4 linked regions of the Drosophila melanogaster genome follow. The protein of the gene in region 2 purifies or fractionates together with the protein of the main gene of each other region. This does not show direct contact. Each region holds a gene or a part of one and is shown on either strand. Other genes may lie near its edges.

What was found.
Region 1: the proteins of chic (region 2) and DAAM purify together in Drosophila melanogaster (affinity purification with western blotting, with the first as the bait; one study listed by BioGRID). This does not show direct contact.
Region 3: the proteins of chic (region 2) and capt purify together in Drosophila melanogaster (affinity purification with western blotting; 2 studies listed by BioGRID, with this or other methods). This does not show direct contact.
Region 4: the proteins of chic (region 2) and dia purify together in Drosophila melanogaster (affinity purification with western blotting, with the first as the bait; one study listed by BioGRID). This does not show direct contact.

What each region holds. Positions count from the first base shown.
Region 1 is NC_004354.4:1,304,068-1,310,663, forward strand, and holds the start of DAAM (dishevelled associated activator of morphogenesis), read right to left. Parts: upstream 4,406-6,596; 5' UTR 4,057-4,405; coding exon 4,009-4,056; intron 779-4,008; exon of another isoform or gene 699-778; intron 294-698; exon of another isoform or gene 37-293; intron 1-36.
Region 2 is NT_033779.5:5,977,097-5,983,881, reverse strand, and holds the start of chic (chickadee), read left to right. Parts: upstream 1-2,863; 5' UTR 2,864-2,929; exon of another isoform or gene 2,930-3,035; intron 3,036-3,400; exon of another isoform or gene 3,401-3,673; intron 3,674-3,780; exon of another isoform or gene 3,781-3,942; intron 3,943-4,177; 5' UTR 4,178-4,359; coding exon 4,360-4,470; intron 4,471-6,785. Other genes in the region: eIF4A (eukaryotic translation initiation factor 4A), read right to left, coding at 646-872, 2,047-2,048. UniProt on the Drosophila melanogaster protein: Binds to actin and affects the structure of the cytoskeleton. At high concentrations, profilin prevents the polymerization of actin, whereas it enhances it at low concentrations. By binding to PIP2, it may inhibit the formation of IP3 and DG.
Region 3 is NT_033779.5:1,151,178-1,160,230, reverse strand, and holds capt (capulet), read left to right. Parts: upstream 1-3,919; 5' UTR 3,920-4,262; coding exon 4,263-4,485; intron 4,486-5,177; coding exon 5,178-5,679; intron 5,680-5,824; coding exon 5,825-5,949; intron 5,950-6,499; coding exon 6,500-6,845; intron 6,846-6,912; coding exon 6,913-7,460; intron 7,461-7,530; coding exon 7,531-8,054; intron 8,055-8,115; coding exon 8,116-8,199; 3' UTR 8,200-8,553; downstream 8,554-9,053. Other genes in the region: Tango14 (transport and golgi organization 14), read right to left, coding at 131-475, 764-1,255; Vps29 (vacuolar protein sorting 29), read right to left, coding at 8,820-9,053.
Region 4 is NT_033779.5:20,757,812-20,767,552, reverse strand, and holds dia (diaphanous), read right to left. Parts: upstream 7,254-9,741; 5' UTR 7,116-7,253; coding exon 7,096-7,115; intron 7,029-7,095; coding exon 6,712-7,028; coding exon of another isoform or gene 6,656-6,711; exon of another isoform or gene 5,412-6,655; intron 4,057-5,411; coding exon 2,101-4,056; intron 2,044-2,100; coding exon 1,513-2,043; intron 1,436-1,512; coding exon 963-1,435; 3' UTR 601-962; downstream 1-600. UniProt on the Drosophila melanogaster protein: Required for cytokinesis in both mitosis and meiosis. Has a role in actin cytoskeleton organization and is essential for many, if not all, actin-mediated events involving membrane invagination.

The sequences.
Region 1 (6,596 bases), on a different chromosome or scaffold from region 2:
TATTTAAATTCAATCTTCATTTCGGACGCGAGTCACCGTCACCATCACCGTCTCCGTCTCCAGCTTCACCTGCAACTCCTCTTGGCTTCTTGGTGCTCGGTGAATGTTTTCACTTTCGTTCGGCATCCCAAAAATCCGAGTCTGTGTAGTCTGTGTAGTATGGAGTCTGAAGTCTGCAGTCTGGGCATCCGCCGGCAACCTGTTTTGGCCTGACTGACTGCCCGCTTACCATGATTATTGTGATTATTGGCTGGCGGTCGAGGGGAAAACTCTGTGGCGCTCGTATCTCGAATCTGAGCGAAACCCCAAAACACACAAATTGAATAGGAATACGAAAACGAAAGTGAAAATGTTTATCGAAAAGGGAAACGGGGAAAAACAAAGCAGAAGATCAGCAAAGCATAGATCGTGCGCTGCCCCATCCCGCATTTCCTAGCACTCTGTCGTCCAGTCAGTCCAGTCAGTTCAATGCCGTAAATTAAGCTGGCAATTTCTTGCTTTGTTTGTCGGTGAAATCTGCCTAACAAAGAAAACTCCTGCCCCTGCCGTGAGTGCGTGGAAAGCGGTTGGACCGTGTTGAGGATGGTTGGGATTGCCACCTCCATTGCCGAGTGGGGCAGCGGGTCAGGGAAAACGAGCTTGACCTTAGGCCCCTGCCGAACGAAACCAATCGCGATTCCAAACTAACTGAACCTCACCTTGTTTTTTCGCGGCGGCTTCTTGACTTCAACTTGCACGGCTGTTTGCATCTTCCTGCCCCAGAACTGGGTTCTCAACTGGGCAAAGTTTTTGGCCGAGATCCGTATCTTATCCAACTCGGTCCAAAATATAGCTATATTTGCCTTGCTTTGCATGTTTACTTGCTTTGACACTGACAATGATACGCCATCCAAGATGCGGAGATACTCAGCGAAAGAGTGGAAGAGCAAGGTGGCGGGGAATCTTATCACAGCTGATGTGATAATTACCCAGAGCAAATACTGAGATACATGGTATTGTACTATATATATGGAACTCCTCGTTTAAGGTGTATTTATCGTTTAGATTTCTTGTTCACATATAATTTAAAAAGAATGTTCATCGATCGCTTTCAGCTCATTTTATATAAACGAGAACCTAATATGTCCCGATATGGTTACCTTTAATTGCTAATTGCTTGGCTTATGTGCCGGACATCCCATCCACATCCGATCCACGAACAAATGCGTTATCAGCTGTCAGATGGGCACTTTCACTCGGAAAAAAAAAGGCGAAAACAAAGGAATTATGCTTTTCCAGTTGATTAGTCGGGTCAGCGGCGGCTAATTCATGTCCGCATAAATTTCAATTCAAATCTCTGACAAACTCTGGAAAGTTTCGGAGCGTAGGTGGCCCGCAAATGGATCGCATTACATGCAGATACTTTGGTATCTATTGCCATTAGGAATGATGAAGTAAGTCAAACAAGACGGCCAGCTGGAGTGGAGTAGAGTGAATTGCATTGGATTGGATTGGATTGGATTGGAGAGCAGCGGTCTCCGAATCCGAATCCAAGTCCAAGTGGATTAAATCGAGCTGGAGTGGGGACTTCACATGCAAATCAGGCTGAGACAGGAAATTATTACACACTTTTCCCAGTCTAGTTTTGGTCATGTGCTGGTGGTGCCTGGTTTCGGTTGCTTTCGCAGCGATTCATTAGCATTGCACGGCTTCCGTATATGGGCTCCGAAAATGTATAAAGTGTTCGTGTGCGGCCAGGCCTATGCCCAATTGCTATAGGGTTATATGGCTATATGGGTCAGAGCTTCCCGTGTCTAGGTAGTGATATCAATCCGTTATCGGGAATCAACTTTCTGTGATGCGGTCACCACAATCGAGGAGACGGGTGGCCGGAGACCTTGGCGGTCTGTCTGGATTTGTCTAGGGTTCGGATTACGGACTATGCCATATTATTATTTCATACACTATAAATACACTATAATGCAATAGATATATTTTTTTTTTTGTAGCAGACTTTGGCATAGCCCAAGAAATACTAGCAGGCCTTGCAGCCTCAAGCTGAAAGTGCCACATATAAATAGCAGGTAATTGGAGGTGAGCAAGTGTGAAGCCACCGGTTGAGATAATTTAACTATCCATCCAATGACTTGGCCCACATTCCAGCTCCAGTGCTCGTGAGAATCGAGTCCGTCTGCTGAATGCCCCCGTATCGCCTCGAACTACTCCGTGGGCTAGGCCAATGTCAGTCTGGCCTAGCTAGCCTAGAGCCTAGAATCCGCCAGCGGCTTGCGTCATAAATAAGGCGGCCACAGGCCAGACGAACCAGTTCGCGAGCGGGTTTGGCGGCAGTTGCAGTTGCAGATGCAGAAGCAAACAGTTGGCCGAGATGCAGATGCTGATGCAGATGCAGATTATGCAACCTGCGCATTTCGTGGAGAAAGCTCAATGGAATTCTAGCGCAGATTGCGGTAGTTGACGTCACAACGGAACTTGCCGTTAATTATTGGTCATTCGTTGGGGATAATCCCTCCAATCGCGAATTATGATAGCCCCCATTCCCTGCCCCTTCCCGTTGCCCAACTCCCTCTAGGCGTCAGTGTGTCGCCAGGAAGTAAACTCAGCGCAGCCCGAAGTGGAGCTACAAGTCATTGAAAACCCACACAAGTAGAGCGTAGGACAGACAAGTGGTATTATGACATTTCCCAACCAGCATAGAGGTGTTGTGTCAGTTGAGTTGGTGTAAAATATGCGATAAATGCCATTGCTATGCTGTGCAGTATTTGTTCTTTTTCCTTTCCAAAGCCATACATACATTTCGATGGACTTCAGTCAGCTGGGTTGCTATAAAGCTATTGCAGTTGCAGTCTTCTAATTTCATGCCGAATCCAAGCCAGGAGCTGCTTCATTCATCGCAACCAATAAGTGCTGGTCGAGAGTGCGAGAATGGGATAGCATGGGATGGGTCTTGAGAGGATCCAGCAGAGGCTCGACCGTTCAGATTGCCCAACTCTTACCCCCCATCGGCATTTCTACACTCGCACACAAGAAGGCAACCGAAAATTATTACTAATTAATTATTGTTGCACAAACAGCAGACGCCTGGCTGCAGTGCACCTCGAGTACTTTCGGTACCTCCAATACCGATCCCATCCCGCCATATAATTTGCCGAATTGGACGTCGGCCACTTGTTTGTTTTTCGTTTGATTTTTGTTTTATGTTTGTTATGCGGCGCGCGGCATTTCGTCAGCTCATTCAATTGAAGCTCATTCAGCCGCACTTAAATCAGGGGCGAAGTGAGCGGGGGAATTGGTGGATTGCGGGATGGCGGCCAATGGGCACTTAATTTCGCTGGAGCGCATTTCACTTTCATTTCCACACAATCAAAATACGTCGAGTACCCGGGCATCGGACATCGGGCATCCGAGCATCGGGGATCGGGGATCGGCGATCGGAGAAGGGGGACTGGGAAAAGTGAGGCGCAAAAATTTCAATTTCATTTTATTTATGAGCGTCTAGGCGACACTTTTGAATGCAAATGACGTTAAATTGTTGGTCAAGTGAGAGCGGACTCTCGCTGCCTATTCCCCCTTTTCCCTGCCCCTCATCTACTTCGCCCCCCCCCCTCGATACGAGGCTCACAGACAGCAGGTGGAAAACCTTAGAGGTGCAGCAGGGAACTGCGTGACGAAACCAAAGCAGTTAAGAGGGACTTACCCTTCAGCCAATAACTTTTCTTCGAAATTGCAAAAGGGGTTGCGAAGTAAAAGCACAGAAGCTAGACAGACTTCCTAACCAAACAAAATAGTTTATGAATATAACAATAGATGTATTAAATGTACAAAGTATTCGAGGCGACAGTGTAGCAAATAGTTTTCACACCATTTTACTGGGTTGCACAAAAAGCGATTCAATTTAACGAAACAACCGAACCGAATTCGTGTAAAGGTCCACTCTTTGGCAGGTTTAAGTGGATCGACCCAGAGACCCACTAACGCCCCCAAAAGCCCAGAGAATCCCTTGGCACTCACCGTGTTGATCTTATCCATGAGGACACTCATTTGATTCATGCTCGACATAATGATACTGCTCTGTAGCACTGGAATTCGAATTCAAAAACTATAACTATAGCGTTGCAAGTCTCTTCTGCCGCGGACTGGGATGCAGCACCAATTCGCACATCACGCACTGCTCATTGCCAATTCACTTGATGCAAAAAAAAATTAATCCGAAGAAAAAAAAAATTTTAAATTGACATACAAAGTGTATTCAAACAGTGTTCGTTCGCTTTGCGAAAAGCACACGCGCGCGCGTATTTCCAATTTCCGATTTAATCAGTTCGACTTCTATATAGCCTATAGCCTTAGGTTTTGCTTTCCATAGCCGGTCTCTGTCTGCCGGATGACTTGACCCGCTCGCGTGCGTTCTTATCGACGGCTGGCAGCGCATTGAACGCTCGCCGCTCAAGACGTGCCCACGGCAGCGGCGACTTGGCCAAAAGCAACACGACGAGCACGAGCACGTCGCCGCGGCAAGCCGAAGAAGTTGGCCAAGACAGAGTGGCAGCGACAGGTGCCAGCAGAGAGCCCGAGAGCCGGAGCGGGCTCCAACGCGAACGCGAAACCGGTCGACGGCAGAAAGCGGGCTCTGAGCCTATTCTGTGCCTAATGCCGCAGACCCCACTGTGTCCCAGTCTCAGTCGCACTCCCGCCCGCACACCGCTCGCCTTGGCTCGCGGATTGGGGCCGCCTTGGTGGATAGTGGGTGGTGGAAGGTGCTGCATTTCCATGTGCGTGCGGGGTGCATTCCTGGGGTATTTATGAAATCACAAGGGCTGAGACACTTGAAGAGATATCGAGGTAATTATGGGTGTGAAACGAAGAGCTTACTGCTACGAGCATTTAGAAGACCAAGCGGAGCCTAAGGTCCACGATACTGGAATACCACCTGCGATTCATTCCCAAATGCAATCCAACCAGTGATAGTTTAACTTCGAAAGGAGACAACTAGCCGACCAATGTAAAGGAGTTGGAAGCATGAAACCAAGCCAAGAAACAATTGGACAGCCGAACTGTCTATCGAACAACTTAATTAGCTCTGGCAAATCAGCCGCACACAACAGACAATTGTTAGTCCGCTCGATAAGTTGTTCGGCAACATGCACATAGCCATGTTCACCGGTAACTTTGGCAATTGTGGGCTCAAAGCCGCCAGAGTCGAAGTCAAAGTCAAAAACAATTTAAGGTCGTCACAAGTAAAGTTTGTTATTCCCTCTCTTTTGTTTCGATTTTGCAAGTGTCATGCAAAAAATAAAATATCATGGCAATACCGCCGTGTAAAAACACCGCCTCTGCCCCTCTATCTCCACTTCCCGATTTTCAGCAACGATTCTCATCATCTCTTTTTTTTATGTAACGGTCCTTATTAGAGCCAATGTTGTTGTCTTATACCGACGATCATTGGCCAAATACCGAATGCTGACGGTCATTCAATTTGGAGTCGACGGCATGAGGTGGCCATCCGTTCTTTAGCTGTTTTGGCTGGATATTCGCGCCTTTTTTTTTTAGCTTTTTGATACCCTTAACAGTTGAAGAGGCAAATGCTATTATTATTTTAAAACCAATTTGATGGTGTAACCATCTTCTACCACGTCTAAATTTTGATCGTTGAAAATAGAAGAGCGACTATTCAATGATGTATCATACTTATATTTATGGGCTGTAAAGCGCACTCATTTTCCGATTTTCTAGACCTATCGAACATTTACCAACTGCCTCCTCGGCAGCGAACCGTCTTCAATGACTTCTTACTCACCTGTTGTTGCTAATTGGCTTCGTTGTTGGGATTAGTCTTTGGCTGCAAGTGGAAAAGAGGAGAACGGCGAGAAGCAAATTAGTAGGAATCCGTCATAGTCATAGGTAGTCGGAGTGGTAGTCTCCCTATTGATTAATGCAATCCTCACAGCCCGAGCCAAATCGAATCGACTCTCCCATTTCCCATCTCCCATTTGCTACTCGAAGGGCTTTTTATGGGTGTTGTGCCAACTCATCCGAAAGCCACCACGCTTCGATCGCAATTACTTGGCCATTATGTGATGCAGCCAGACATAATTTCCCATTAGCAGCTTTTTGTCGATGGGCCAAGAAAACGTGAGCATGAGGCAGTTCGTAATCACTCAAAGAACCCACTTCATTTCCCTGGCTAATCTGATTTGGTTCGCCCCTATCTCCAGGCACAACCTCTGCCCAGCCCCTTTTCCATTTCCAGCTAATCGCAGATGCTCCTACTTCATCAAGTCTGCCTCCGCCCGAAATCTTGTAAAATCATATCCATATCATTTTTGAGCTTGAGCTGACGAAATCCTAAAGTACAGAGAAGGTGTTTAAAAACATTGGTTGAAAGTGAAATTTTGCCCACGGCCGCGTCGTCTTCAATTTGTTTATTTTCGGCTGTTTAAATGAGTTTTCAATTTCACTAGAAAGCATGAAAGTACGGCCTTTTAATATTCTTGCCGGGCAGAAATCACAGCGAAATGGAGAAATACACAAACAATTTATCCGCCTGTTGGCACCTGACATGAATGAGTCAAACACAAGTGTTTGCTCGCCCCGTCCTTTTC
Region 2 (6,785 bases):
AGTACGCCATTTGTTATGCAATTCTGTTAGGCGTAAACTTGAATGACGGAAAGATCAATGGAATAAAGACAGTTGTCCATCGTTTCATCAGGTAGCTGATGTGCCATTTCAGGGTCGAGCTGGCCACTAATCCCTGCCTATACATCGATAGGCAGGTGCAAGTGCCAGAACACAAAACAGGAGTTGAGAATGAACTATATTAATATGTATATAGAGCCTCTTTTGCAGAGCCTGCAAAATGGATTAGTGCCGAATGAGCAATGTAGGTAGATCGCATTTGGAACAGATGACCTTAAAAACGCATAGCAGCTGGAATTCGCCAAGAGCGCTCGAAGAGCGACCTTCTTTCTGGGAACTTTCTTCTGGCCTGGCGGCCGAGAAACCGAAACGCAGCTGGTCAGCGAAAAGTGGCGCGCAAGCGCAACGACGCCGACAATCGAAGAGAGCGGACGGAAGAGAGAGAGTATAAGGAGAAGAAAGAGAGTGCTGCAAAGCGGAATTTCAACAAAGAAATACAGGCGCAGCGGCTGAGTCATCGTGCTGTTTTTTCGCCGATTTTGCACATTCTCGAAAGTTTTTCTTTGTGACTGATCGAGGGGGATGATGGTGAAGATGATGATGGGGGACTCGGAGCCATTTACTCACCCGACTGGGCCTGGGCAATGACATCGCGACCCCTCACACAGGGAATGATGGCGCGCTGCTGGATGGCCGACGGCTTCTCGAAACCATAACCGTAGATGCCGCGCAGCAACTCCTCGCGCAAGTTCATGTCATCGAAGTTGTCGTACACCTCGTGCCAGGTGGACTCGATGACGCCCTCGGGTTCCATGCTGGCGGGGCCATCCTGAGGTATCTCATTTCGGTCATCCCTGCAAGAAAGCGAGAATGCGTTAGTGGGGCGGAACAGTGGAAACAACAACAAAAGCAGTAGCGGGACGGGGGTAAAAAATTTTCCAGCCACAATTGTTGGTTATGGCGAATGGCAGAAAAGCGAAAAGTAAGTAAGGCTGGTGGAGGGAGAATCGAAAACCGCGAGCGCCGCTTGGCAACCACTCACATTATCAACAATAAAGAATTGACTAGGTAAACTTATATCCTGAATTTCGACGGCTTGGGCCCGGTTCACTCAATCAACTGTTTGCCTATTTGTCTAGAACGAATAACGGAGAATTCGGGCCGAACGCCGACTGTGTTGTTTTCTCGAGCTATCGAGCGCTTTGCTTTTAGTCCGTTACGTTTGTGCTGCGATGCGCTCTGCGAAGCGGTGACTTTACGTATGAGACCGAAAGCGATAGCTAGGCAGCCTTTTTGAGCGACAAGCGGCGAGAGTCCGCCCCTGAGCGTGTGCGAGCGGGACGACCCTAGTGTCGTTCGTGTCAATGTCAACGGGCGAGAGCAGCCGAGCGATATTAGCACGTAACAGTGGCGCCAGTGTTGCCTAACACCAGTTGCGAATGGTAGTAGTTGATCGAAAATAGCAGTAGTTTTGACAGTACGGCGGGGTGGGGATAGAAAAAAAAAACCGACTGACAGGCAAATATTCCAAAGCAAATCGAAAATTGAGTTGGAGCAAGGCTAAATCAGCCCACGAATGCCGTCGTCCACTAAAGATAGAATCAGCGGTCTGCGTCATTGTCCAGTCATGAGTCAAGCGAACGGACGGACGAGAGTGCATAAAATCCAGTCAAGTGGCGACACCGACGTCACCGGACTTCAACAAAAGTCCCCAGTTCGGAGTTCTAGGTTTCGCCAAGGCGAAGGGGGAGGGGTGCAAAGACCGAGTCCAGCAACAAAACTCTCTTGGAGCAACCACTGCGCTCGCTCTCTCTCGCTCGCATGGTGGCTGCCTCTCACTCCCACTCCCTGCACTGTCATACGGGCGTGTAATTTTTTTCCACTCATTTTGACCGTCAGAAATTTAAAATCGCGTTTTTTGCATTAAAACACGCGGAAATTATGCTAAGCAGTTGCGGAATCGATGCGGCACAAGATCGCCTTGCGGCTTTTTACATTTCAAACGCTTAATCTAGGGTATATACTAACATTTTCTGAAAATTATTTGGCACTTTTTATACACGTGCTGCTACTGATTTGTTAAAACCAAGCAAAAGAGGCTCCATCTTGCAAAAGTTTTAGTGATGTAAGAAAACATTAGCGACTATCGATAGATCGATCGCCAACTATCGCCAGATGTTAGCGGATATCCGGCAATTTCGCTGCGGCTTCGCAGTGTGTATGGTAAAGAAAAACAAAGCATAAAATAATGCAAATATTTTGAATTCAATTTGTATTATTTTGCACTTTTTTACGTTATTTTGGAGGTGCCACTTGAAGTTCAGGGCTGCAGACCCAGAGCTGGGGTGCCTGACTTCGCTATTTTATTTGCTATCGATATTACGCCCATCAAAGTTTTCCACCAGTATAAATATTTAAACCCGAATCTTATATTTGTTTAATAAATTTGATTGTAATATTGTTTTCCAACAGATTACATTCTCTTGTTGTAAAGACTTAATTGTAGTATTCAACCATTTGAACAACAACCTTATGTGAATCATATTATACAAATATATGAAAGTATGGAATTTTACATATGCTGCTATTCAGTGAACTGTTTTTAAATCGTGGGACTGGAACCGGCCAGCTATTTGTCTTAGTAGCTTAACGATCAGTGTTGTTTTGAATCTTTTTGAGTTTAAGTACAGTAATCTTATCTCATAGTACTCGAATGTGGAAGTGAATTTAAACTTTTCATGCCGCTGGTCTAACCGGGACTTACGAAGGCAAATAGCGAATACAATCGATTGCGAGGAATATCGTGATCGAATTTTGGCACACATCGATTGTTTCGAGCGAACAGCGACTTGTGTTCCAGTACTACCGCTTGTCGACGGTCACTCTGAATTTTTACCGCAGCGTGTGAACAGTGTGAGTGCCGTGGGTTTCCTGGAAATCCGTTTAGAAAGAGATTTCTCTAGACTTACTGAACGTGGGGTGGTTCGACAAAAATCGAAAACCGACCAACACTTTGGGTAAATTGCGTACAAAGCGACTTTCGTGCTGGGTGCACGCCTTAAATGGCGAAAACCCACACATGTACGCGCTACTTGGCCAACCGCGTTGGCTGTGCGTCGCCGTCTGCGGGTGTGTGTGTGTGTATGCCTGTGTGTATAAGTGTGCAAAAAATTAAGTGGGAAAAGTTCAGCAGCAGCCGGTCGGTATTCGGCATACGGCATTCGGTACTCGGTATTCCATTCGATTTGTCAAGCAGCCAATGCTAACATATTGCGGGTGCGGTGCAGCGCAGCACATTATGATATGTGAGATGGGATTCGAACATATAGGCGTTGAAATTAAAGGCTATTTTTAATTTATGACAGTTACTCAGTGCCGGCCAACAAAGTGACGATTCATAACACTCACTCGGAGAGCCGCCGTTGAGTCATCGTCTGCTCTCACTCGCTCATTTGCATTGTCCGCAGCCGGCTGATTAATAACGGCCCGCCTCGTACGACCGTCTCGCTCACACACCCACTCCAGGCGCACCGTTGCACTCGCCCTGGCTACGGCTCTCGCTCGCTCACTCTCTGCCCCACTCGAAAGCAGTGGCAGTGGGTGAGTGAACGGGTGACTCACGGCTTGGAATTGAGCGCTTTGGAGCAGAGGCAAGGCAAGCAGCCCCCTGCAGCGCGCACTCTTTCGCCACTCTCTCTCCATCTCTCACTCTCTCGAGTGGGTTTTCTCGAATTCAAAATCGGTTTATGGTTCTGCTTTGCGCTCATTCGACTTTTGAAATCCGCCTCGAACGCTTCGAAAATTCCCAGCGAGTCGGACGTGTGTGTGGAGCTGCGGCGTACGGTTTCTGTTTCTGTCTGTCTTGGTCTCCTTGGTCTTGCTCTTGCTCTTGGTCTCATCCCCCGTGCGTGTGTGTGTATATATGTGAGTTTTTCGGAGGCGGAAAATTAGGCGCTTTGTGCAATGCATCACAATCAAAATCACTAGATATATATACTTATATGTATATACATAAATGTGCATAACACAATTCCGCCGATACCCGGTAATTTGTCAAGGGCGGATGCAACACCCACTGCCGCATGATAAAATACGATACGATTTGATAAATGTTAATCCATCTCTCTCTCTCTCTCTCTTTCTCCACCTCTCGTTGCAGTTGAAAGTAAGTTACCCCAAGAAAAAATCGTCGGTGTTGCGGTTTTTCTTTGTCTCCCTGCCAATTTCGTGTGACCCCCGAAACGAAAGTGCGACTCGCCGTGCGGTAAAGCAACAGCGATCCATATCCAGATCCATATATATCAGTTCAACTTAATCCGCACCCACGACAAACAAAGCACCATGAGCTGGCAAGATTATGTGGACAACCAACTCCTGGCCTCGCAGTGCGTGACCAAGGCGTGCATCGCCGGCCACGACGGCAACATTTGGGCGCAGTCCAGTGGCTTTGAGGTGAGTACGTCGAACGGAATGGACTAATGGACGGAAAGCGGTTGGGAAAACCCATAGAATGGAATTCGGACGGAAAAACGGATAGTTGACAATGAATTTTCGCAAGTTCAAGGGTGTGACTCTCGCGCTGTCTTCCTCTCGCGGCCGCCATGATAACTTTCATTTGATAAAGAGCAACTCCCACCCCTTCGCCCTCGCCCTTGTCAGTTTCACCCCCTGCAGCGCCACTCCTGCGCAGGCCCGCTACCCCCTCCTCTCCCGCCTACGCTTTTGAGGGAGTGTGCGTGATCATACAACCCAGCAGGGAGACCAATTGGGCGACCTAGCCGATACGGATGGATTTCTGTTTATCGGTGACTAAGGAGGTGCAGCTTCGCTTCGCGGTAATCACCAATGCACTTGCATGCGGCGATGAGTGTGTGGTGTGGAGAGCGGGGGCGGGGCCGGGACCGGGAAATCTGATATCAGCGCAGCCGGTTCGAATGTCTGCGGTGCTGTGCAACACTGGTTCCTGATAATGCAGCCCACAGGCGCCTGGCATCAGCCCCACCCCTTCGCTATCGCTCGCCTTTATCGCACTCAATACAGACGGACCGTTTCCTCTGCGGCGACGGCCAAAATAAATGCTCTTTATCGGAGCGAAATACAGAACCAAACAGAACAGAACCAAAATGAAACGAACAGAAGTACAGAAAATATCTTGAGCATGCGATGCCGCGTCACCAGCGCAGAGTGAATCGAATTGAGTGGAGTTGACTCCGCTTCGGCTTCTTTTACTGATTTCGATTCTGAATCTGAATCTGCTACCTTCGAATGCGAATGCTCTGAGTATTTCTCGTATGCGCGCCACGTTTTCGCCCTTTTGTGAGTGTGGCTGTCTGTGTGCGTGTGCAACTTCCTGTCGACTCCGAATCCGAATACAAATACGAATCCATGTGCTCTTATCCTGCTCGCTCTCCCAGCGAGATTCCACTCGATTCGGGCAGCCACTCCCTAGTGCTTTGTCCGTCGAATGAAGTTCATCTCGCCGCTTATTAGATTAGGAACCGATTTTGGCCAAATTCGATCCGCTGCCTACGTCACCTCACCATCACACTCATTCTTTTATCTACCTGCCATTTCTGCACGCGCATCACTTTCGTTTTATTATCTCTCGCTGCCTTCGCAGGTGCCTTTGTTGTTTTTCCCAACTTCGCATTACCCAAGTTACCCAGTTTTGATCTTGATTCGGATGAATCATTGTGAATACTTAGCTTTTTCCTTTTCCGATTGATCAGCTGAGCTGGACCTTGTGAGAGAGTTGTGTTTTTGGGCTGCTAATAAAAGTTTATGATAAACACATTTATATACATGGCTTTGCATTGAGAAAACCGACTTTGGGTGACAGAATCTGAGTGCCATCGTGTGGCATGTTCATTCATTGAAAAACTACCAATTTAGGAGATTTTTGGCACTTGTGGAATTTTCGCTATCGCCGCATAATGAGCTCCGCTTAGTTATTAACGTTTTTGGCATAGCTGTCTACGCAAAACCGGCTTTTCGCGACTTTACTGCTCTTCTGCTCTGCTCTCCTCTTCGCATTTCTTTCTCTCACGCGACGCGAGTTGCGCTCAATGGAAACTTCTCGATGCCCAATTCGAGTGGCATTCGGATGTGTCACCGTTCGGCAGCCGCAAATGAGTAACTATCGGTTGTGCGAGATTTTCAAATTAATTTCCCCACTCACCCCCCGGCAAAAGCAGCTGTTACCTGGGGGATGGGGCTGCCAACTTGTTATGCATTTGACCAAGGCTATTGACATTGGTGCTACTCTCTCTCTCCCTCTTTGTCTCCATCTCTTTTGTTCTCTCTCTTTCTCTGAACGGACAAGTCGCTCAAGTGTGCAAAACTTGTTTTTAAAATCCAAAAAATCAAGCCGGGCACGCATCCCGAGACCCACAGTATCATATCCCTTAGCCAACTCTACAGCCTCCTTGTGCCACACCCCTCTGTTTCCACCCCGGTATCGAGTGGACCACATTTGCTAATGAGTTGGCAGTCGTCGTCGATGGTGCCTACTGTTTTCAAATGGGTGGTGGTTTGCTCGCGGTGGTGGTGCTTGTAGTGGTGGTGGTGGTGGTGGGTTTGCCTTTGTTTGCGTGGGTCGTCTGCAGCTGATTAGTGCGATATTTCAACAGAAGGTTTTACTTTACACACATGTCTCGCATGTCTTTTTGCCCCGAAAACATGCAACCTCCCCTGCAGGCGACTACCCATTAATTGAACCCAACACAACCAATATTTCATACCACCGTTCAAAATGTTCGTTTTTTTGC
Region 3 (9,053 bases), 4.8 Mb from region 2:
ACACTTTCATGTGAACAATACACTTTTGCAGTTTACTCTTACGAACTAAAAGGAATTCCTGGCGATAATTTACATAATGTTAAGGTAACTAGTTAATATAAGGGTGTCGCTACCCACGCGAACGATGTGCCTACGTGCCCCACCGCTGCTCGCACCGCGAGTACTTGCACAGGATGCTGGCGAACGTCTCCACGTCGAAGTGGCGTCCGCTGGGATGCGTGTGGAACTCGGTGAAGCGCGCGTGCCAGGGAAGCAGGCCGTAGGTGCACGTCTGCCGGGCGAACACGATGCCCAGCTCCGGCTCCGGGGCCTCGAACCCGAGTCGCTTGCTCAGCATGTCGCTGATCTGCTCCGTCAGCGCTTCGCGCTTCTGCTTAAGTAGGCTCTGCACCAACTCCGTCTTACTGTCTTCGTACAACTCGCGGCAGACGTCGGCGATCAGGGCATGGCCGTCGGAGGCGCTGATTTGATGGAGCTGAAAGACGCCGAAGCCGAAAAGTCAATTAGAAACTGATAAGGCAACGACTAGTTCCGGGAATCGATTACGTTGCTATACATAGGTTTTAATGGATACAAAGGTAAAACTGGTTCTCAGCACGAAGAATTTTTTGTATCTCATGTGAATGATGAACTAAATTAAATCTCCAGCTCATTACTTCTTTTATTTAACAATTGAAACAAAAAGTGTAATACTTGTAAGACATTTTCCGACATCGTTCTAAAGTCCATTACTAATCACGGCTTATCAGACGCCGCCACTCACCTGCAGTTGAGGGGAATGTGAACCGTTCACATAACCATTTGTCTTTTGTCCGTTTTTGGGCTGGTTCTCCAGTTTGCTGGGACTGGCTACGGGTGGCCACTTTAAGCAGCTGCCCGTGTCCGCGTTGGTGGATCGACAGAGATCGGCCATGTCCACGTATCCCCTGCCTTTCGTCCGCCTGTCGTACAGGCTGACGTGTTTGATGCCCACGTCCAGGGCAAAGTCGAAGATCCTGCTGAGGAGCACCGCATCCACGCCGGCATCTACGGGGGAGATAACCAGGACCAGATGCTGCGGCGTCTTCGTCAACTGGGAGCGGCAGTCAGCGAGCACGCGCCGCTCGTGCGCCTCACGTGCCGCTTTGCTGCGCCAAAGGTCATATGACCGGACGGCCAGTGCATTCAGTCGCTCTCGGAGCCGCCACATCAGTTCGTAGCCGCCGACCAGGAGCAGCAGGATCCTGCCCAGCAGCAGGCACAGCACCTCGATCATGTTGCGCAGGTCAGGGGCGGTATCTCGTACAGCGGTTGTCTCTTCTGCCAGGAATCCGCTCCTGTTGCTTCTTCGGTTCCCCGTCACAGTGTACACAAGCGGACATAACCTGCAAACGGCTGGCGGACCTGGGATTAGGGCTTTCCAGAGGTGCCGGCTGCCTACCCACGCTCATCCAGGGTCACTTCGCTACCTGTTCAGTCACTTGAGACGCGGGTGCATCTTGTTATCCGAGCGTAATCAAGTTTTAAGCGATGCGCTTCGCAAGAATAATGAAAATACGTGTTCGTCAGTGTGACCATGCGCCGGATTCCGCAAAATATCGAGAATCTAGAGCAGTTTTATAATTAAGAACTAATTAAAATAACTAAATAAAAAATAAAACATTGATTATTTAATGAATATGTTAGACTAAGTGAAAAGGGAATAACATTTTATTGGAAAACATCTTTATTAGACATACAATGTGAACGATTTAACAAAATAATTTACAGGACAAGAAATAGCGTCAATATCTGAAGGTGAACTCTAGTAGAAATGTACCGTGTTCAATCAAAATATAGTTTATTTACGTGTATATCGAAAAGTCCTAAATGCATTGCAAATAATTTAAGAATTAGTTTATAAGCTTGGCTATTGCACTTCCATCATATTTTATACATTTAAACATCCGTTTTCTTAAGTCTAAAATTTGTTGTATCATATATTTTTAGTATTCTGCCACCCACATAAGGGTTAACTCGCTTGACTATTTCCACGAATGTACGCCTGGTCCCACCAAAGGCCACGCCAAGTTATTATTTTCGCCATTTCGCCGGTGTTCGCTACGCAGCTTCTCGTCAGTTCTAATTGGAATACAACTGCAGATCCTTGCAAATTCATCAGCAGCAAAAGAAGGTGAGTAACGCCTGATTGTTGCTAAAAACGTTCATTTAAACGGGGCTTTGCTATTATTCGCAAATTCTCTTCTCCCGTTCGCCGGCTGAAAGTGTCTGCGGAATTAACGGTTATTGGTGAGGGGTGGGTGGTGCTGTCACGAATTTGAGCGTGTGTGTGTGATGCAGGCTGTGGGTGTTTGTACACACACAACAACAACAACAGCGAAGAGAGCCAAAAAGACAAGAGACAGCTGTGTGATGGCTATTTTTGTGTGATTCATGTTGCTTGTAAAATTAAATCTACATGGTGTATTTTTAACGATGATTTCATATCCGATTCCATGGCATAAAGACACAACTAATTCATTGCCAGCAAGTGTATGCAAATTAACCCTTAGCAGCTCCCATTGCGATTGTTAACCCCCGATAAAAAAAAGTAACTACTCAGCTGTTGTGGCCATTTTTTGTTTTTGTTTCGCTGACTCACAGACACATAGTTGATATGCATATGTATGTATGCATGTATGTAGTTTACGCAAGAGCAAACACGTTTGCTTGTATTCGTGCGCGAATGAGTCAAAAAGTTGGCCAAAACGCTTTTATCAGCGAATCGCGATTGAAAATCGGCAGATATTACCACTCACTCGATTTCGGTGGAAGAAAATAACACCTCGCCTTATAAGGTGGGCGATTTTTCTTCTACCATTACGAACACCCCCCACCCCTGGTAATTCGAGCTCACTCACACTCTCGCAGCGGGAATAACGGTTCCTCAGCTGCAGACATTTAATCTTGGTTTCTAGTTTTTCTTCCCCATTTCTTCTTTGCTTTCTGCACGCAACAAACGCATCTGCCGCAGAAAACGCATCAAGACTGCAAGGAGAACTAGTATCGCCAGGCGAAAGTTGAATCTCGGCTTACTTGTCCTCGGCGGCTTAGCCCCTCCCTCCAATCCAACGGCTACTGATGCATTTCCCACTCTAATTGCCAGCCATTTGTTTAAAGCTACTTAAAAACAAAAACAACGTTGCCGGTGCAATAAACCCATTGCACTAAGGCCAAAACAAAAACTGGCAAGCAAACGATATGGGAGTTTCAGTTACGTCGACGTTTTTATACTCTTCTGCGGCAGATTACTTCACAAAAAGCTGAACATTTTAAAACTGTTTTTATAGCCGGCTAAGATATGATCATTGCATCTCTCTACTCTCTATGGCTTACAAACGTTATGGTAATGCTCAAAATGGAATCATAGTTTCATTACCGATCATTCCTGGAAACTTTCCAAATAGTAAAGATAACTCGGTGTTGTCACAACTAATTGATAGGCGAACCCTGCCTTACAGGGCTGATAAAACTATGGGATCGCCGTGGTTTTCCCTCACTTAAGTCGCGCCACCCGTGGCGAGAAGGGTATCACGAAATCACAGTGGTGTCTGCGCAACTCTCTCGGAGAGTTTTCCATTTTCCGCCTGGACCGTAAGCTTTCTCTGCTGCAAAAGTGCAAGACATCGCCGGAGCTTGCACAAAATCCTGCATGTCAGGCCAAAAGCGGTTATTAATGAAACACATTTCATTGCCAGTCGGTGGCTGGCCCCAAATGGTCAAAAGCAGCGCGGAGTAGCCCAACAAGGCGGCGAAACTCAGCAGTTAACAGCGCGGAGCTCTCCTAACAGAGTCCTGTTGAGACCTTCGAGTTCGAGTTCGAAATCGAATCGAATCCCCGAGTGCGTGGGCGTGCGCTTCGTTTAGGGTGTGTTCTGTTCTCCGTGTGTAATCGCATTTGTGTGCCATTTGGTTCTGTGCTTGGTCGGCAGTCACTTGACCCAGTTGAAGGCGCGGACAACTCGGAGGACCTTATTAATGTGCCACTAAATTTGGGCCATACACTGAATATATGTACACAGTGAGCAAGGAGTGGCCACGTTCGTTGGAAACCCGTTGAGTGTCTTATATGGCTGCTGCTGTTACTGCTTCTACTGATTCGATTTGGTTTGGTGTGCCGTCAGTGTTGTGACCGCCGCTTGAGCTTCACGGGCATCCGCAGTCGAGCCACGGAACTTACATAATGTGCTTGATTCGTACCTAGAGTGTTGAGCACCGGAAAAGCCCAGCCACACGCCTGCAAAATGTTCTCCTGCTGCCGATCGAACCCCAAGGCGGGCAAGAAGGAGAAGGAAAAGCGGAACGCAGAGGAGGAGAACGGCGGACAGGTCACCGAAAAGGAGGAACCCCAGCTGAACGGCAAGCCAGGAACTCCGAAGGAGGAGCCAGAGCCTGTGAAACCAGAAAAGGAGCTCTTGGAAGCGCATAATCCCGAGGATGTGCCCACAAGCACCCAGCCAAACACTGGTACTGACGCAACGCTAAGTATTTACCCACCACCCCATCTATTCGCGTTCTCCGGCCTTCGAGCTCAACAGCTGTCTCGGCTTTTGTCTGCTCTCCGGAACGAAGGCCCCTATCCGGCCGGCTCTCACTCACTGCAATGCCACTGCAGCTGACCACCACTTCTGATCTTTCCTTTCATTTCAATCCGGGCACTTCAAGCTGCCTTGAGTGTCCTTTTCTATTTACTTATGAGTTGTCTTCACTGTGCTTTCTCTTCGGTTTATTTCTGTGAATTTTATACATATGAATATCAAGGAATTGCGCCGATTCTCAGTTGATTAATGAGGAATAGCTAATGACATTGCATACACACTTTTTGTTGAGCACTTAGATCGTGCTCATCCATCAAAGTGAACGTATAGTATATAGTAGTGACGAATATAGAAACTAAAATGAAGGTCAATAATTTAGACAGAAAATTCAAGATTCTATAGATTCTATAATAATAAGGTGAGCAGTAAAAACTAACTACTCAATCTGCCAGTGACCATGGTAAATGCTTTTAAATGCGATAAATAAACATAATGAAGACAGGAAGCGAGGTGAGCAGAGAGTGAAGTGAAGTAATCAACTTAAGTATCGGCGCTTTCCTTGATGATCGTCTTGGTAATTCGTCGCTTCATGTAGAGTAATCTTAAGCAACACTTCCACAGCCCAACCAACTCAGGCTGAAGCGGCTAGCAAATCATCACCAGCAAATCCAGCACTAGCACCCAAAGAACCGGAGCCACTGGCCCGCTCAACGCACTCTTCCACATCCACGGCACCACCTGCTTCGATGACCAGCGGCGACGCGGAGGAGGCGGACGAAGTGGTGGTGGTGGCGACGGTCACGCCGACCACACCGCCTCCTCAGCCGCCGCCCACCAAGAGCTGCCTGTCCAGGCACAACTCAACGCATCAGTCGATCAAGAAGAAGGTGAATATCAGCAACCGGGCGGAGATCATCGAGCCGGATCCACTGCCACTGCTCCTGCTGGCCAGCCAGAATCAGGGCTCCTTGCTGGACGACGACGAGGTGTTCTCCGACTCACTGCCGCCACCCAAGCGGGAGAGCATGTGTGCACCCTACATCGAGGGGGATGTCGTCTCGGAAACACTCTTCTTTGCCCACGGATTACCCTCGTGGTTCGACGACGAGCGCCTGAACGACATGTATGCTTACCCAAGATCCTGTTTTGGTTTCACGCCCAAAATATCCATATAGTTAAGCTGAAACCAGAACAGGTCGACCCCTGCATTCCCAGCCCCGCTTTGAATTGCCAGTACATCGTCTCCTCTGTCCTCGTTCCATGTCCAGCGGCTGCATCGAGCCCCCGGTCACGCCGGTGGGACGCGACGAGCTGGAGCTGAAGCGCCAGCGTCTCTACACGGAGCTCCTGCGGGCCGCCCATGCGGCTGTGGAGCATAGCGTGGCCGTGCGGGGTATGCGAGCTTCGATAGAGTCCGATTCTTTTGCTTTTTTTTTTCGATCTCAGCAGTTATTTAAGCGGATGCTTGACTTTCTGTGTTCTTTATGTGTTCGTTTTCGCTGTGAAGAAGTTTTGAGAGTCTAGCGATTCACGTAACTTCCTGATGGCCAATAAGTTCGCAAGTCAAGTGCTTCCGTTTAAAGGTTCAACTTAGTTCTTCTCTCTTATGATTTTTCGTTGTCTTGTGCCGTTTTTGCATGTGGATTATTACTTTCACTCGTTGGGATTAGCTCTTTTTGCATATTGAACTTTATAAGTATTAAGCGCACCAGTTCATCATCATACACAAGCTCGTGATGAGGTATTCCTCTCGAGACGCCTTAGTTTATATCGCCTTTTTTGTCAGGTATTGTGAGTGCACGATTCACTGGGGTTTATCACGCTGAAGCATCATCTCACTCAAGTTATTTTCTTTATAAAACTCAGTGTTATTTGAATAATTCGAGATAATTGCCAAAACGAACTAAACATTTGCCGTTCTCCTCCGCGTCATTTTGGTTCAGATAACGAGCCGGAAGCCAAGCCCTCGGCCGCCGTCGACCACTTGGAGAGCATTTGCGAGCGACTGGAGACCCTCGTCGACCGATTGGAACGGACTCTAACAGCGCCACAGCCGATAGAACTGCCCACGCCCACACTCCCGCCTCCGCCAGCCGAAGAAGAAGAAGCTCTTCCAGTTTTTGAAAAAGCAGAGACACCACCTCCACCTCCCTCGCCGCCCAGCAGCAACATGAGTGTCGCCGGATTCGAGGACATTGTGGCGGGTCCGCTGAGCCAATACCTAACTCTCTCCGCCAAAATTGGCGGCGATGTGGCGCAGCATGCGGAGCTCGTGAAGAGCGCCTTTGGGTGAGTCAGTCTGGATGAGTCATCTATGGTAAAAGTGTAATAATGCCATCGTTCAATTCCGCAACAGCTCCCAACTGCAGTACGTGACGCTGGCCACCCAGATCGCCCAGCCGGCGCAGCCCAAGCAGGCGGAGCTTCTGAAGCCGACCTCGACGCAGATCAGCGCCATCCAGGACTTCCGCGAGAAGCACCGCTCCTCGCCCTTCTTCAACCACCTGTCGGCCATCAGCGAAAGCATTCCCGCCTTGGGCTGGGTGTGCGTGGAGAAGACCCCGGGTCCCTATGTCAAGGAGATGAACGACGCCGGCCAGTTCTACACGAACCGCGTGCTCAAGGAGTGGAAGGAGAAGGATGTTACGCATGTGGAGTGGGCCCGCGCCTGGGTGCAGACGCTCACCGAACTGCAGGCCTACATCCGGCAGTACCACACCACGGGCTTGGTGTGGTCCGGCAAGGGAGCGGCCCCCGCCGGAGGTGCCCCGCCACCACCGCCACCCGGTGGTCTGCCCCCACCGCCGCCCATGCTGGATCTGAGTGCCCTCAAGCTGGATAGCGCCGGAGATGATCGCAGCGCCCTCTTCGCCCAGATCAACCAGGGTGCCGACATCACCAAGGGTGAGCAGCAACTGCAAAAATGGTTAAGTGCTCCTATAGTAAGAAAATGTATCTTTTGATAAACCCGCAGGCTTGAAGAAGGTCACTGGCGACATGCAGACCCATAAAAATCCATCTCTACGCACTGGACCGGCTCCGTTCAAATCGCCAGCCCAGTCGGGCGGCAGCAAGGCCGTTGCTGCTCCATCAGCTGCGCAAGCCAAGGCGCCCGTTTTCGAGCGCGACGGAAAGAAGTGGATCATCGAGTACCAGAAGAACAACACCGGGCTGTTGGTGGAGAACGCCGAGATGAACAACGTGGTGTATGTGTTCAAGTGTGAGGGATCCACTCTGACCGTCAAGGGCAAGGTGAACAACATCGTCTTCGACTCCTGCAAGAAGTGCTCCCTGCTGTTCGATTCCGTGGTGGCCTCCGTGGAGTTCGTCAACTGCCAGAGCGTGCAGATGCAGGTGCTCGGCTCGGTGCCGACGGTATCGATCGACAAGACCGACGGCTGCCAGATGTATCTGTCCAAGGACTCGCTGGGCGTGGAGATCGTCAACTCCAAGTCCTCGGAGATGAACATCCTGTTGCCCGACGACAGCGGCGATTATGTGAGTTCAAAAATTTGTCTCTTGTCTTCAGTCATTTATTTATTTTTTTTGTGATTTCCAGACCGAGTTGGCTTTACCGGAGCAGTATAAGACCACGATTGCCGGCAAGACCCTGAAGACTGTGTGCGTGGACAGCCTCGGCTAAGGCGGTTCTCCTCCTCGGGGATCCTGTTCGTTGCTTTTCCAACTGTCGTCAGCAGCAATCATAATTGTATTTAATCTAAGTGCAAAGTTTTCGTAATTCAAAGATTTTTAGATCAAACATTTCGTATTGATGATGTTGCCAAACATTGCTGTCCTGGCTCGTGGAAAGTATTTATATAATTTATTTCGATGGAAAAGCGATGGCCACAAACCGAACCCAATGTATTTATATCGAGAGTGTGTTGCAATGAGAAACTGAGCATGAAATCCGAACTTTTGAGCAGACTCTTTACTCGATCATCAGATGTAACTCCTTTTTATATTCTATTTAATAAAATTTAAACTTTTTTATCAGATTATTGTGGGAGTATCACAATTTCTGGGGGTGTTTTTCCTTACTTTGTAATCGTTTATTATTGCATTAAATCTAAAACTTCACTTTCGTCCGTTCGTACTTTTATTCTCTATTTAAACAAGGTGCTAGCATTTTTTATCAGATAAAAAAATGAGAACTTGATTTATTGCTACGTACATTTACAATTTCTTTAATGAAGCCGAGCTCAGAATGCAGGGGTCAAGGGTTGGATTGGAGGGGAATGGCTGGTGGCTAATACTAGGACCCTAGATCTTCTTGTACTCGATGCGCTCCACTTTGACCTCGTCGCCGATCAGTTGGTACACGTACGTGACCACCGTGGTGCTCTGAATGTCCATCAGCACGAACGAAGGCACCACATTGGTGTCCAGTGGGTTGAAGGCACCCGTGGCCGATCCCGGATTGATGTAGAATTTGTTGCCGTGCTCGTAGGCCTCGAACTTGTACGTGTGCCCCGTGATCAGGATGTCCACGTCCAG
Region 4 (9,741 bases), about 15 Mb from region 2:
TGGTTGAGAAGCAGTTGATTTGGTAGTTTTATTTTCAATATACCGTCATTGTCGAAAAATAGACATTTATTAACAATGTTATGTATAGCGCGGATTAAAATAGGATTTTAAGGTAAACAAGTTCAAAAAAGTTTCGCTTAAAAACAAATTAAATACAAAAGGAATTTTGCTTTGATATAAATCTCGCCTCTGCTCTACTGAGTGCCTCGAAAACGAAGTGCACAGCAAAATGATTGGAACATGCCACAGTAAAATAGGAATACAGTATGTAAAGACCACAAGATACAGATAAATCTTAAAGTTGCTTTCAGTTTCATTTTTAAGTATTTAGACTTACAACGACATAATTTCAGAAGTAAAAGCGTATCAAAAATATCTATATATTTAGTTTTTTCGTATAGGTAGCGAAGTTGGAGTTTTCATCGATATGCATTGCTAATTTCTTGACATGAATTTAGTTTCAACTAGAAGTTTTTTTATAGTATATTCGACTTGTAAAATTGGTACTTTAATATTGGGACAGTCATAGCAGTAAAATAAAATGTACAGCTGAAATTAAAAGGCCTGCCAATCATTTTAATTAAATAAAAGTGATCTTGTATGTGTTATTTGCATATTATAAATTCTAAACAAAATGTTATTTATTAAACAATCAATTAAATAAATACTCCAATCAATTCAAACGGAAAACTCAATCCTATAAACCAAGGACTCCGTTACAGCAATTAATAATTTCGGAAAATCCACCTGTGACTCTAGTTCCAGTTAATTAGTACTTTGCGGCTCTTGATACAGTCCTTCCTGCTGGGCATCCAATTCGTCAAATCTCTTGGACACGCCAATTGAGTTGATATGCAAGCAAGGCGACGCACACGGACTCACGGCTAATGAGCCCAGGCCCTTATATCGCTACAGATATCTATTTATATATGTACAGAGGGGAATTGCTCGTTCCATTACTTCTACGCGGAGCCTAGAACCTCGTTGAGGATCATTTCGCGGGTCATTAGTTGTCCGTTGGTGACACGCGTCCGCGATCGACTCCGGCTGAGCTGTGCCCTCCGCTCCGCTCCCGCCGGTCGTTGTCGCCGGGCCTGTCGATTTCGTTGGCCAAAGGCTGAGCCCGTTTGCAGCGCCTCCAACAGACTGTCCATCACGCCTTCCTGCGTCTGCGGGGCATCCATGTCAACCACTGCCTTCTTACGCTGTTGGCGCTCCTGTTGCTCTCGAGCAGACTGCTCTCGGGCCTCCTGCAGACGACGCTTCTTCTCCAGCTCCTCGCGTACCCGGACATTGTCGTTGTGGGCCGCTTGGAAGGCATCCTTGAAAGTCTTGATGTCCGCAAAGAACTCCTCCATTGTGTATTTGCTGGGATCGAAGGCATAGTACTCGCTGAGGTCCTTGTACAGCTTCTCCATTTGCAGCTGCATTTTGCCTGAAATTAAAACGAGATGTTAGAGAATTCGATTTTGCTCATGTAATATTCGTTCCGATCAGATGAGATAATCTTACCCAGCACGTCCACTTGTTGTCTGCACTCCTCGGCAAACTTGCCCATCACCTCGCTAAACTTGTCATCATCACACTGCGGCACCTTGTTGTTCTGGAGATCAGTTTCCAGGTTCTTAACCGCCGAATTCATTTGCCGCATGGCCTTTTGGATGGCATCCATGTTGACCCGCGACGCTTTATTAACATGCGACAGATCGTCGTAGAAGTTTAGTGCATCTGGGAATTTCTTTTCCACCAGGTCAGCCAGGTAGTGCAGCAATGTCTGCTTATTATCCGCATCCTTCGTATTGGACAGTTTGGTTAAATAACTGATCTCAAAGCCAAAGGCGGCCTCGTTTTTGGAGCCCGAGTTCATGTAATTTCCAAGCAGCAGAATCAGCTCCAAGATCTTTGAGAACTTTTTGCTATTCCGGATCTCTTCGCATGCTGCCGTTCCTGCCACAATGTCGGGTTTGATATCCTGCACCATGTCCGCGTAGGTCAGCTTGAAGTTCAGGTTGTGAAGTCGCGGCGAAAGGCGTTTAATTTCCCCTGAAATTAAGTAAAGTTATTCTGCGCCTTCTGCACTACAAACTCCATTCGCCTTACCTATTGTGGCTGCAAACTGTTCAATCGGCGGTAGCGGTTCGCCCTTTGCCTTGATCTCCTGCAAACGCTTGAGGTGCTCTGGCGGCGGAAGGTACTGGATAAGTTGCTGCAGGATATTGGAGGACAGGATGTCGGTGTCGCAGCGCAGCAAGCAGATCTTGATCTGTTCGTAGGACAGATGCTTCAGCGATCCTCCCAACATAATAGCCAAGTTCTGAGCAGTCTTCGAGTCGAGCACACGAAGATCGACATTTTTCTTTGTCAGCGTCGTTGGCTTGTCCACCGCATCCTTCTGTTCTTTCTTTACAGGTTTAGAAGAGAATTTCACGGCCAGTTCTGCGAGGAAGTCATCCTGGGCCAGCTTATCCTCCTGGCACTTGACCCAGAATGCCTTGTCGGACATTTTGGCCGGGACAATGGCTTTCCAGTTGGCCCGCTTCATGGGATTCTTGACGTCCCACTTCTTCTTCGGTTTTAAGCCATGAGGCAGAACGGGAACCATGGGCCCCATCATCATGGGCGGTGGTGGAGGTCCCCCTCCTGGGCGCATCATGCCAGGCATGGGTGGAGGCGGTGGGCCTCCCATTCCGGGCGGTGGAGGAGGTGGTGGCGGTCCACCTGCCCTTCCCGGCATGGGAGGTGGTGGTGGAGGCGGAGGTCCACCACCTGCTCGTCCCGGCATAGGTGGCGGCGGTGGGGGAGGTGCTCCTCCTCCTCCTGGTGGTGGCGGTGGCATGGGTATGTTTACCTTGGGTAGCTTATTGGGCGACGGAGCCGCCACACCATTAGCCTCCATCAACTTGACTTTCTCCTCCAGATGAGCCGCCTTCGCTTCCGCCTCTTGCTTGGCACTCTCCAGCTGCTCGATCTTCTTCTCGTACTCCTCCGACCGCTTCGACTCCTTGGCCTTGGCCTTCTCCACAATGTCGTCCAGCAGTAGCGAGGTGTCTATATTAAAGTTCCGGTTCTCGAAATTCGGATCACAGTAACCCTTGTGGAAGACGATTTGTGAGATGCACTCCTCAATCAGCTGATAATAGGCAGGTCGGAAGTAGAAGTCATCCCTGATGTACAGCAAATGCTGCAGGATGGACAGGAAGTAGGGCTCGGAAGTGGTGTCAGTCACCAGGTTCTTCAGCACATCGAAGCAATCGGTGGCGTCGTCCATGTTGAAGGTGACATTATCGAAGCGCTGCACAAACTCCTCGAAGTCATCCTCGCGGATCTCGTTGAAGATCTTGAAGTGCTGCTGCAGGTTCTCATTATTGCTGGCCTCCACGATTTTGGTGAACTCATCTAGGCGATCGTATAGACCCATGCGCATAATCTCACATCGCAAGTGCAGGCGGAAGTTCAAATCCGTGGGGGTATTGGTGAGAGTATTAATAAAAATCAGGCTGTGGCATGCCAAGTCCCGTTTGGGATCCTGCTGATCCGATGCAAACAAGGCATCCACTATGGGTCGAAAGCGCTCGCTCGCTTTAAAGGATGTGGCTGCAATAGTGGTTATGGCTCGGAGAACCTTCTCGTAGCCATTCCGCTCATAGACAATGCAGAACGAGGCCAGCAGCTTGAGGGCTTCACACATCGTCTGCGGCTTCCGGGGATCCAGGGATTGCGCCAGCAGCAGCACCACACTATGCTGATCCGGATTGAGCACCACGTTCAGACCCCATGTGTTGTTCATGATCGCCTTCAGGCACCGAATCGCCTCGAACTCGATCTTCTCGTAGCTGGCATTATTCTTTGACCGGGCCAGCAGCTTCTCAATCGTCCCGATGCCCGCCACTCCAAACTCCTTGATCCACGAGATCGGATTGCTGGTGAGCGCCACGCGCAGAGATTCCACACATTGGTACACCTTGTGCGTGCTGTGCTCCCCATTCTGCAGGTATTCCACATAGTCTATGGGCTTCTCGAAGCGGGAGTTGGCGCTACGCTCCAGTGAGTTTTTACCTGGAAGAGAAATTGGAGTTGGAGTCGGATGAGCGCACGTATTGAATTTCTGTAAAGCTATTTAGTGGTCAGCGGTATTTTACATAGTAGACATAGGAATATGGTTCTATAAACACCTATTAATATCTAATCCGATCAGTTCGTAACTTAAGCAATTGATAATTATGGCTAATATTGGACATTTTGATTTGTTACACTTTTGACATAAATTAAAAGTTGGCACAATAGTAAATTAAAGTACATTTTGCCATTCAACTCACGTTTGTGCTGTTTCGATGATAAAAAGTATACGGGTTCATTCCAAAATAGCTCAAGGCTTATATTTTGAAAGAAAGAGGTTTGCCTCCCACCGACAACACACCTGAATTTAGTCATATCAGCGATGATTCACTCTACCCTATCATTAGTCTGCTAAATCGGAATACTTTCCCACAAACGTACAATGGCAATTTGATAAGAAAACCATTTAATTAACGAGAAATTACCACTTAAGCTCTAATCTGGAATATAATCGTTAACAAGTTATGTTAAACAAAGGTGTAACATTATACACATATCAACACATTATAATACGCAAATGTGTTTTTAAGTTTATTTGCCATCACTCCAGATTTTCCAACTTGAAGTTTGTAAATTTCATGATAAAGGATGATACATATTCTATATAGGTGGCTCAATGATTACACTTTGGAGGTTCTAAATAGTTGCTGCACAGCTTTATGTGATAACTTTGCCCTAAAACTGTGAGAGATAGGGGTAGTTAAAAGGCTATCATCATGTCCCACCTTTGGAAGGGAGGCCTTCGGTGCGACCACCCACCCCTTTTTCTGATTGACCTGCACCACTGACATCACTCAAATTGGCCAAAACCTGCCCACCACTTATACGTTTATCCGTCAAAGCAAAACTACGCTAACTGTTTTATTAATTAACTCAAAACGGCAAGCGAAGCGTGTTAATGAACAGCTTTTTGTGCGAGCCTTTTTTGTTGTCGGCCAGTCCATTGTTTGTGTTTTAAATTTAATTTCGCAACAAGTGGGTTCTGCCACAATAAACACGACCCACAAATACTTACTTCAGTCGCTTTTACCTCTCACTCGCAGCTATCTGCACCTATGAGATACGATTGTGCCGCAGCTCAAGTTTACTGACAGGCATCACAATTTATTTTCAGCTCGATTTTGTCATAATGTGTTTAATGTTTTCGCATATTTGCATTTTATGGCCGTTCCAAAGTGTAAGGAAAATCACCCTCTGCCTCTGCTACACTGAGAACTAAGCCTCGTCGGTACAGGAAATTTGAATTAAAATTTGAAATATTAAATTTATATTCAATAACAAGGCCATTGAGATTTATAAATAGTAGGTTATAATCATTAGCTATATTTATATATGATGTTTAGTAAAAATACTTTCAGTGTACATAGTACATCTCTCTCTCGCCTTCACGATGCACTTGCTTATACAACAAAAAGACCTAAGCGCGAAATAAAAGAATCATTTCATTTTCTCACTGCCACTTGACGTAATTTAAATTGTATAATGTGCACGGTGGTGGAAATTCAATGTCTTTGCATTTTCATTTTTTGCCGCTCGACTTTGTCACGCATTCGCCGCGTACCACTTACATACATACTATGTATAATATAGCACTTGGTATTACTTGATAAAATGGGCAAGCAGATAGTCCGCGGCTGTGGCGCAATTAGGCGTTACAAACGATAAGGGAACTTTGATTCCACACTCCGCAAGACTGATAATGGACCATGGCCATGGTGAACTAACTGGAGCGAGACCCAAAGAACGAAGCTGAAGCTGAAAGCTGAGCTGGCATTGAAATGTGCTCAAGATACAGCTGGCGATGTGCTACAGTGATAATTGGTAGTATCACTGTAGTACAGTAGAGTACACCGTACTAATCTCGCTGGATATGAATGAAGCAAACACAAGGGAAGATTCCAGCTGAATCATTACCGCGCTGCGATGCACATAATATCGTTATAATAATTCTAGAAATAAAGTATTCTCAAAATTGAAGTAGAGTTAAGCAAGTATATGTAGTTAACAAACAAAGTAATCACCTCTTGACTAATTGAAGTGGAAACCATTTAGAGACTTATGTATGTTATGAGCTTACTTATCCAAAGGATCGTTGACATCACTTCAATCGGTTTAGGAATTGGCCAGAAATATAGAACAGAACCTGGCCACAGAGCAAATTGGCAGCTAAGAAGGCGCTAAGCAATCAGAAAGCGAAATTTGCAGTGTCACGCACACAGCGAAACGGGGAAAGCACACGGACACGAGTTCCGTTACCTGCTTATCTTATCACAAGTGGAATGCAATATTCCGCAGCACAACAAAAGCAAAAAAAAAAAGTAGAAGGCAGAGTCACCCAGTTGCACGAAAATCGATGGTCTGCTGTTTGTATACCCTTGCAAAGGGAAAGGGTGTTAAAGTTTTGCCAATCCGGTTGGCCTTTCAAAGTTGCTTGGAACATTACGGTTCAGACGAGTTTAGATTATTCGTATATGTATGTAGATTATTCTTAGACTTTCTATTCCAGAACTATAGTTCTTAGCCAAACGATACTCAATCTTCAAACACAAATGCGGTTTTCTGTTTGAAAACGTGTACTTGCACCATGTTCTTTACCTTTCAAGTGCCACATAATCATCTTCTGTCGCTCCTCCTTCGATTTGGCCAACAGGGGCTCCCTCTTGTCCTTCGGAATGTTCATGTCCTCGATGATCTCCAGAAACTTCGCATCCAGCTCCGCAACGCTTAGCTGCTGGATGTACTGCTCAAAGTCCTCCACGCCCGGCACCACATAGTTGTCCGCGGACACGGGTCGTCCGCCATGGGCCAGGGTGCCACTGCTGATGGTTCCTCCCTTGGACTTCGAGGGTCTTCCGAACAGACTGTCCAGGAGCCCGCCGCCCGTGGATTTCGTTTTCTCGTGACGAGACATTCTGCAAAGAACAGAACAGAAATATTGGGTTCGATTTCATAAACTATGCAAAAGATTTCAAGTCTAACCCCAGCTTTTTGAGGCGCATTTCGTTGGATAGCTAGGCGAAAACTAAACAAAGACCAAACAACGATTTTTGGGGCCTGCGCAGTCTTCAATATTTTGGGGGAGACAACTTGCACAGCTGTTCCTTGTTTACAAGTGTTCGAGAGCAGCGCACAGACCGCGGTTTCTGATGGCTTCCCAGCGAATGCATCCAATCGATGGACGGATGGCTGGGAGGTGGTCGATCATTATCAGCTTGGGTTTATTTACAATTATCTGGGGTGCCGTAATGTCGATTCAGCCTCAACGGAGTGTGGAATTTTCAATTAACACGTACATATGTACGTATTTTGAGGGAACGAGGCCCATTACAGTGGTTCTTCGACTTGGAAAGGGTGCTGTTTTCCTTTTACATGCTTAAGAACATTAACACATGAGAGTTGGCTTTCATTTAAAATTTTTTAAGGGTGGAAATCTAATAGGAATTATAATTTTAATACTGTGTGAATATTACTGGTAAGCTCAAAAATGATCAATTTATAATTAGGTTTGTACAATAAGTTTATATTACAGATTAAAACACTCTCAAGCTTAACCATTTTCCAAATTAGAATCCGACCACTGTGCTATCCAAAACTCTCACCGCGTGAAAACGACTGATTATAATTATAAACAAAAACGATAAAAGTATACCGCAGCAAATTGGACAAATTCATTAATAATGCGCACTAAATTTACAAAACGATGCGATAATCGCGGCCAGCCAAAATAGGAAATAGCACGTTATTCACAGCGCAAAACTGAGAGCCAAACAAAACACGAGAGAAATTGGTTAGAATATGTGGAGAATATGGAGTGATTCATTTGACCAGGCTGAGAGGCTGGCCGTTAGCGTTTGAACATTTGAATTGCCTTGTATTGAAGGATGCGTTGGGAACAAGCTTTGGCTTTTTGCGTTAGCTTGTCCAACGCATCTAATGAATCACTAATGAAATCGGAATCGCAGCAGCTGAGCAGCAGAGGTAGAAAACAGAAAATCCAATAAAAAGGCAAACGAGCAACAGGTTTTGCGGATGGTTCTGGCTCGCTACACGGAAAACAAAGTACTTAAACTGTAAGATTTGATTAGGAAATGAAATAAACGTTCGTTATTAGTGCTCTTAAATTGAGTAAAATTTACATTTTAAGCTAAGAGAGCTATAAAGTGCTGCGTTTCAATATTTGGCATGCAAGGATAAATTTAATAGATATATAGATATAGATATATATGTGCCCTGGTATTTTCTGCAGTGTGGCGAACGGGCGTGCCAACTGGCGGCAAATCATTCACAGTGCTCGGCTAGAGAAATCAAATTTAATATATGACTCCGCAAAAGGCCAATTGTGAATGGAGTGTTGTGTGTGTGTGTGTGTGTGGGCAGAGGAGTGTGCGAGGGAGGGGGCGAGGAGGTGGGTAGTGGAGAGTGGAGCGACAAGTTCAAGCAGGGCAACAATTTCTTTTCAGGTCGCCAGTACACATAAGCATCTGCGGAGGAAATGCTTTCAACAAGATTTCTTTTGCCAAAGAATTTACTGCAATTGCCTCTTTCTCTATTTTGTTTACATGCACTGCATCTCTTTCCCTCCCCTCCACAACATCACAACACAACCCTCCGCGACCAACACTCCTTCCACAGAACGATCTACATATGTCTTTCTCGCTCCCGCTCTGGCATTAGTTGTGTGCTGCAACTGCGAAAATGTAAACAAGTATAAAACCGTCTAATAACCGCTGGAATTCCAAGAAACGAAACGAGAATTGGTAAGAATGCGCTCACCTTCGTTTTGATATCTGTGTCGCCTGCTCACTTTTGATTTTTTTCGGTGGTTTACGTCATAAGACCAGAAAAATAATGGCTTGCCACTCTCACACAAATAGAGCCACACTCGCACACGCACACAAACTCGCGATCAAACGGCTTTTGTTGTGGTTGTTGTTTTTGGACTATGTCTTTTTGTTTGTTTTATTGCGCGACGCTCTGTACAAAAAACAAGCTGACAAGCTGTGCACACCGTTCCCTCCGAACACTTTTTCTTGCAGTGTGGTACTCCTTACTTATTTAGTTGTTGCTCTTGCTTTCCACTTTCGGCCACTTGTTGCTCCTTTGCCGGGAATGACACATGGAACACACTCCGCTAGCGGGCTTTTGTGCAACGCAAACACTGTTCTGCCTAGTTATTGGACACTTGGCATGCAGATCGCTGGCTCTTCACGGCCGTTAATTGCGAAAAAACAAATTCTAAGCACAAGCGGTTCGATTTACTCAGCGCGTTGAGTTGATCGAAATTAGTGTGACCGCAGCGGGATCGCTCAATCAAACCGCTTCATTTTCAAGGGTTATGGAAATATACTTTTGGGATTTAGCCTGTATTCGAACCAAACAATAAGCAGCAAGCCGGTGTTTTTCACTTATTTTTAAAACTTTGTTTATGATTTTCATTTTATTTTGCTTCGTGTTCTAAATGCAACCAATTTTGTTTGAATAAAATATTTATATTTGAAAATTAATTATTAAAGTAACACAATAGGTGTATATAATTAAGTTGGCAGTCCTAGTCTATCTGATTTGCGCATTTTGACAGTCCGACAGCACTATGAATTTTGTTGACTTCGGGTTGGGAATTCTTCT